Oryctolagus cuniculus: one gene and its partner. The protein of the gene in region 2 purifies or fractionates together with the protein of the main gene of each other region. This does not show direct contact. Links are inferred from orthologs where the notes say so. Each region holds a gene or a part of one and is shown on either strand. Other genes may lie near its edges.

What was found.
Region 1: the proteins of KDR (region 2) and CDH5 purify together in Homo sapiens (affinity purification with western blotting; 3 studies listed by BioGRID and IntAct, with this or other methods). This does not show direct contact. The link is inferred for Oryctolagus cuniculus from reciprocal best matches to the Homo sapiens genes KDR and CDH5.

Annotation. Positions count from the first base shown.
Region 1 is NC_091449.1:49,342,088-49,345,736, forward strand, and holds part of CDH5 (cadherin-5), read left to right. Parts: intron 1-2,142; coding exon 2,143-2,657; 3' UTR 2,658-3,649. UniProt on the Homo sapiens protein: Cadherins are calcium-dependent cell adhesion proteins. They preferentially interact with themselves in a homophilic manner in connecting cells; cadherins may thus contribute to the sorting of heterogeneous cell types.
Region 2 is NC_091439.1:109,292,616-109,296,264, reverse strand, and holds part of KDR (vascular endothelial growth factor receptor 2 precursor), read right to left. Parts: intron 3,308-3,649; coding exon 3,199-3,307; intron 1,785-3,198; coding exon 1,443-1,784; intron 1-1,442. UniProt on the Homo sapiens protein: Tyrosine-protein kinase that acts as a cell-surface receptor for VEGFA, VEGFC and VEGFD. Plays an essential role in the regulation of angiogenesis, vascular development, vascular permeability, and embryonic hematopoiesis.

The DNA of each region.
Region 1 (3,649 bases), on a different chromosome or scaffold from region 2:
TGGGCAGTGAGCCAGCGAATGGAAGACCTCTCTCTCTCTCTCTCCCTCTCTCTCTCTCTGTCTCTCTCTCTCTCTGTCTGTCTCTCTCTCTCTGCCTCTGCCTCTCTGTAACTCTGCCTTTCAAATCTTTTTTTAAGATTTATTTATTTACTTGAAAGGCAAAGTTTCAGATCTTTTTTTTAAGATTTATTTATTTATTTATTTATTTGACAGGCAGAGTTACAGAGAGGCAGAGGCAGAGAGAGAGACAAAGAGGTCTTCTATCTGCTGGTTCACTCCCCAGATGGCTGTGTCTGGGGCAGGCCAAAGCCAGGAGCCAGGAGTTGCTTCTGGGTCTCCCATATGGGTGACAGGGACCCAAGCACTTGGGCACCTTCTGCTGCTTTCCCAGGCACATTAGCAGGGAGCTGGATTAGAAGTGGAACAGCTAGGACACAAACTGGCACTCATATTGGATGTCAGCATTGCAGGATGTAATTTATCCACTATGCCACAGCACCAGCCCCGGGCTTCCACTCTTATAACCTAATCAATCAAACTGCTTCCCATAGGCCACAGACTCTAAACTCCATAAGTGGATTCAGTATCCACCCTCAAGTGGGTGTTTAGCCAAGTGGTTTAGCCTGGTGCCACATGGGAGTACTTGGGTTCAATACCTGGCTCCGGGCCGGCACCGCGGCTCACTAGGCTAATCCTCTGCCTAGCGGCGCCGGCACACCGGGTTCTAGTCCCGGTCGGGGTGCCGGATTCTGTCCCGGTTGCCCCTCTTCCAGGCTAGCTCTGCTGTGGCCAAGGAGTGCAGTGGAGGATGGCCCAAGTGCTTGGGCCCTGCACCCCATGGGAGACCAGGATAAGTACCTGGCTCCTGCCATTGGATCAGCGCGGTGTGCCGGCCACAGCGCGCCGGCCATGGCGGCCATTGGAGGGTGAACCAACGGCAAAGGAAGACCTTTCTCTCTGTCTCTCTCTCTCACTGTCCACTCTGCCTGTCAAAAAAAAAAAAAAAAAAAAAAAAAAAAAAACCTGGCTCCGGCTCCGGCTCCGGCTCAGGATTCCAGCTTCCTGCTAATGCAGCCCCGGCAGATGGCGGGGAACGCATAACTAATCCACAAGGAAGGCCTGGGTTGAGTTCCCAGTTCTGGGTTCAGCATGGCCCGGCCCCAGCCACTACACGCATTTAAAGGGTTCACCAAAGGAAAGGAGTTTTCTTACCCCACCGCCTCATTAACACTTTTTTAGAGATTTTTTTTTTTTTTTTAAGTTTTCCTTCTCTTAGTACCACTGACTAGGACTTTGGGGTCTGCCCTCTGCGCGAGTTCAGGAGCCGGATACTTCAGCCAGAGCCTCCCTCTCTGGGGCAAACGCGCCAGTAACCACAAGGGCAGCAGTGGTCCCGCCCACACAGAGCCACGTGGCAGCAGTGGCCCTTCCCACCCCACAGGCCGGGAGAGTGAGCCTGAGACCAGGGTCTCCCTGAGCACGCCGGCTTTACTTCCCCAGGCAACGGCTTGTTAAGTGACTGAGGGCTGGGGGGGGGGGGGGGAGGCTGGGCCTCATTTTAGAAGCTGTCCACACTACAGGTCCATGTCTACACCACAGCCAGACCATGAGACTCCCTGTTTCTATTAGCTAAACTGGAGCTGAACTCCATAGAAGGATCATAACCTCTCCTTGAGCGAGATGACTCAAGAATGAGCCCAAGAGTGCCAAGCATGTATACAGCTGGTGCTTAAGAGAATAGATGCTACTGCAGCAAGGGGCTCCGTGGCTACCAGCACCACCGTTTTCCGTTATTACCATCCTAGTTAGCAAAGTGATGGCGCCCCAAGTTCCTAGTCCATCCCTTTCCCCATTTCTGCCGCAACCTCTGGCTTCCTGGTCTTTGGGACACGGCCTGGGAGGATCCGCCTCAGTGGTCAGAGCAGGGAAGAAAAGGGCGCAGCACAGGGAAGTGGGGCTGAGACCGAGAAGGAGATGAACTTGATGAAGGCTCCCCACCCCCGCCAGCGAGGACGATAGCCAGCCAGGACCACGGGTCCGCCACGGGGGAGGGCGCGGGCGTGGGCGCGGCGTCCCTGCGGCCCAGGAGCGGCCGGGAGCCGCGGGCTGACTCTGCCTGTCGCCCCCACTGGCTGCCCGCAGTGATCACCCTGCTCATCTTCTTGCGGAGGCGGCTGCGCAACCAGGCGCGCGCCCACGGCAAGAGCGTGCCCGAGATCCACGAGCAGCTGGTCACCTACGACGAGGAGGGCGGCGGCGAGATGGACACCACCAGCTACGACGTGTCGGTGCTCAACTCTGTGCGGCGCGGCGAGGCCAAGGCCCCGCGGTCGGCTCTGGATGCGCGGCCCTCCCTGTACGCGCAGGTGCAGAAGCCGCCGCGGCACCTGCCCGGGGCGCAGGGCCCGCCGGGGGAGATGGCGGCCATGATCGAGGTGAAGAAGGACGAGGCGGACCAGGACGGCGGCGGGCCCCCGTACGACACGTTGCACATCTACGGCTACGAGGGCTCCGAGTCCATCGCCGAGTCCCTCAGCTCCCTGGGCACCCACTCGTCGGACTCCGACGTCGACTACGATTTCCTCAATGACTGGGGGCCCAGGTTCAAGATGCTGGCCGAGCTGTACTCAGACCCCCGGGAGGAGCTGTTGTATTAGGGGGCCCCAAACCCGCTACAGCCCTGGCGCACGGTGGACACCAGGCTCGGAGCCCAATGAGGCGGGGGGCCTCACTCTCCAACCTGGCACCCCTTTCCCCGTGGGCCTCAGAGACCTGCCACCCTCCTAAATGCTGGGAAATCCATTCTTCTGTCCTGTCGGGGCTGGGACAGCCACATGCCCCTGGCACCCCCGGAACATAGAGGCAAACATGCCCTAGCTCTTCGAAGAGCAAAGCAGCCTGTATTCAGCGGGGGTGGGAGGGTGGGGGGAGGGGAACTTCCTGTCGGGGCCCTGAACGCTTCTGAGGTCCTGGCCCCTGTCTGCCTGGAGGCAGGGGGCTGGACAGCATGACCCTGGGGGTGAGACACTGCAGTTGTCCTTCACACTAACCCCCAGCCCTCCCAACTCCCTCCTACCCCCTTTGCTAAGCTCCGCCCCAGGCCTGTCAAGGGGCCCCTGGCAGCTCGTGACCCTGGGTCCCAATGCGACCTCAGTGACCAGCCGCTCCAGAACTGCTGTACTGAGCGTTGACCTGTTCAGCCAAATTCAGGAAAAACCGCTGGTTGAACTTGAAGCAACTGTGAATTCATCCCGGAGGGACGGGGAGACCACATGTGACAGAGCACAGCGCGAGGACCACCTCCGCACCCGCCCTGTCGGAGAGGGCCTGGAGAAGCTGAGACCCCGACTGCACGCTCATCTACCCCCCTCCAGCTCTGCCGTGGGGCGCGGCTGTGTTTGGAGCAGAGGCCTCTCCCCATCTCTGCCGCTGGCCATGCATTGCACTCTGCACCGCTTCTCTCCCCCTCTTCGCCTTCTCTCTGCACTTAGAGGCGCTCACCACTAGTCCTGAGCACACTGGCCAACGCCCACCCCTAAATGTGACTGCGTGACAGAGCCGCGCCATTTGCCTTCGCGTCTCGTGGTCGCCACATCTCAGGGAACCGACCCGCATGCACTCCCTTGCAGGAGGCAAGGCCCTGCCCTAG
Region 2 (3,649 bases):
ATCCAGTGAGCTGAAAAGACCAGCCCAGTGCGGTTTCCAATAAACCACAAACAAACAAAACAGCAAGCCCCAAAGGCTGGGTCCAGGATTGAAGGGCATTTGTTGAAACGCATGGCGAACCTTTAGATATGTTTGGGTGATTTACACGCATCATTAGACAGCTGTGGGAATATCTCATCCAAACCGACTGAACGTCAACGGGAGTCACGCTGAAAGAATCCACGCGACCCTCAGCACTAGGAGCTGACCTCCACGACCCTCTACATTGGCGCCGAGGCAAACGCAGTGGACTCCAGCCTAGTTGTAAGGATAGAGGTTAGGAAAACAGCTAAGGAGTCCTCGAAGAAGCAAGCCGCTTGCTTTGAATGCTTCCACTGCTTTGGAATCAGACCACTCAGCAATGTCTACGGAGCACACGGGGTCACACATGCAGTGGGATTTGAAGGGTCCGGGAGAGGCTGTGACACAAGAATCTCTCCAGACAGCTGACCACCAAACCCAGCGACGTCACCTAGCGTCTGTCTGAGGCTAGCCCTGGAAACGTGCCAAAGCCTCAGAGCAAGGTGCTAGTCCTCTAAAAGTCTGGTAGAGAGAAGTTTACCTGGGCAGGACCCTCTCTGGGGACACACACATTTTGGGAATGCCGTTGAAAGGAGGTGGGAAGTGGAGGGGAAATAGCGCAAAGAATGACTCCCCAAATCTGTCTGATTTCCTGCAGAAACAGAGACCTGGCTGGCGGGCTTGTGCACGAGACACACACTTAGACAGGTGCAGAGAGTGACACAACAGGAAACTTAGCAACAATCTCCTCCTTGGAAAATCATCCCGTTGGCCTTGAACTGTGCCAGACCACTTGGGCTGACCCAGAAGCACAGGCGCTGAGCACAGCACCCTTCCTGTGGACTCGTCTAGATCCTAAGCTCAGCCCACCATCACACTCCGCAAGCAGCAGAGATGATCCCAAGCACCTAGTCTTTACCACTACGTCCGATGACTAGCGCTATGGCAGGGAACGAAGCAGGAAACACGCCCCCTTCCTCTTGACAGAGCCCAGTGGGCGCCTCTGTGCTCATCCTGTCCATCCTATTCACCCCTGCGAACTTCTGGCCTTCCTCTAGCTCTCAGAAGGCATTCCACGAGCACGTGTCTACTGGAATACGTGAATGCCCAAAAATAAGGCAGAACAAGCAAATCCCTTGCAGACACGAGTGAATTACCCCAGCACAAGACTGGAAACAATCCTGTTATTATCGCTTTGTAAGATACCACCTCACCGTTATTAGCTTTTTTGTAAGCCTGGACGATTTGTAAACAAATAAGTTATGTGTGCACCAATCTGTTTCACAAGCTTGAAGAAGACAACCATCTTCACACAGCACCCAGTAACACTGCATTTAAGGCATCGACTTGACTAGGCAGGATGAGCCCGAGTCCCACCCTACCTAAGACTACGAGTTGTCTGACCACGCAATGCCTCTTCTTGGTCTTCTTGTCTTGAGCAAAGCAGACATAGTGGCCCTGGTCCTGCAGGGAAGCATTCTGGAACTCCGTGATCAAAATGTCATTGGTGCTGTTGGAGAACACGGTGGCATTCAGTCTCGCGAGAGCACCCAAGTTCTCGCAGACGGGCACAGGCAGCTCTCCTGCGTGGACCGGCAGGGCCTGTGGGCCGAGCTTGCACCACGTGAGGTTCTCAAACGTGGTCCTGTCTGCGGAGCACCACAGAGACACGGTCTCCTGCTCCGTGGGCTGGGTGCTCGGGTGCAGAGTAATCTCGGGACCCCCTGAAATGGAAAGCCCACAGTTAGAGCGCCCATGTGACCTGGCACGGCCCACCACTGTCCTCTCGGTGGCCCCGGACTGCTGCGACCGGCCCGAAGGAGAGAAGCCCCTGGGCCCCCACATCATGTACTGCACCATTCAGGTCCCAAAACGTCCCTCGTGGCCAAGATGTACTGTTTGGAAATGTCAATGAATTCCCTAGATACTCATCACGTCTCTACCTTGAGCTCTAAGGTGTTACAACGCAGCCGGCTAAGCTGCCATGTGCGACACCCCCATCCCACATCAGAGTGCCAGTTTGAGTCCCGGCCACTCAGCTTCCCAGCTGGCTCCCTACTAATGCACCCTGGGAGGCAGCAGCTAATGGCTCAAGTTCTTGGGCCCCTGCCACCCATGTGGGAGACTCAACTAGAATTCTGGGCTCCTGGCTTCAGGCTGTCTGAGCCCTGGCTATTGAGAGCATTTCATTAGAAGATCTCTCTCTCTCCCTCACCCTCTCCCTCCCTAAAAAAGGATTTTTAAAAAAGCCTAAGGGAGAGTTTAGATGACTCCTGACTTACAATGAGTCATCCTGGGGTTCTTCAACTTTATGGCAGTGAGAAAGAACATCCATGAAAATATTCTGTTTCTCACTTCCAGGACAGTGTTCAATATGCCACGTGAGCTACGTAACATCTTATTATAAAATAGGCTTTGTCTGGGGTGACTTTGCCTAACCGTAGGCTGGTGCACGTATTCTGGGCATATTCAAGATCGGCTGGGACAAACCATAATGTTCTGGAAGGTAGGAGTATTCAACGTATTTTCAACTTATGAAAAAACGCATTTTCAATCAACTCTCAATGTGAGATGATCCTATCAGCCTCAGTCAAGGGGCATCAGTATCTAATCCTAACACAGAATTTGAAAAATTAGCTCCCCACCAGTGCAGAACACCTATTGGCACTGGAGCTATGTTTATCACAACCAGTCAGCACAGCCTAAATATCTTATCTGACACAGTCAGCTATGGTTTATCCATAAAACTAAGACAAAGACAACTCAAACTAAGATTTGCTGATTTGCAAACTCAATCTGCTCTCGCGTCACCCGACTGCCTCCAGGAAACCCAACCCGTCTACTGTTGAACGAGGGCAGCAGAATTTATCGATCGTCAATATGGCACGCACATGCTACAGTCTCGTGCCCACACCATCAATATGGCACAGAGCTTGTGACTTAAAGCTCACGTGACATCATTCTCACTGCAGTGACGTCAGACACACTGGCATTTGAACATACGGACAAATCTGCCGATCAGCAACCCAAGTTCCCTTCCCCAAGGCCACGCCACTCACAGCCATGCAAGGACAGAGCCGGGCGGGGGGGGGGCACTGTGTGAGTGGTCCCAGCCAGCCCCCCGACAGCGGTACTCACTGGTCACGTGGAAGGAGATGATCCTCTCTCCTCTGCCCACTGAGTTGACCGCTTCACATTTGTACAACGCCGACACGTTCGCCGCTTGGATAACAAGGGTGCTCACAGTCTATGAGAGCAAACAACCCCAGGTCACAAAGAAAGCAGGCCGTGTGTGCTCAGGCTGAAGTCCCGGAGTCTCCACCCTGCCTACTGCATTCTCGCTACACCACTGACCACTCGCACAGCCACTGACCACTCGCACAGCCATGGAATTGTAACCACGCCAGCGCAGAGCTCACACGTTACACAGAAAGGGCTCTGGACACCACACACTTGACGAAGTATTTTAATACAACACCTTCCCCTTCTCGGGCTCGCAAAATCAGGATCACCTTCTAACAGACGGACGCATGAAATGGGGCGAGCGTTTCGCTTTTCTCCAACGAGCTATTCGGAAGTGAGAGGCTCT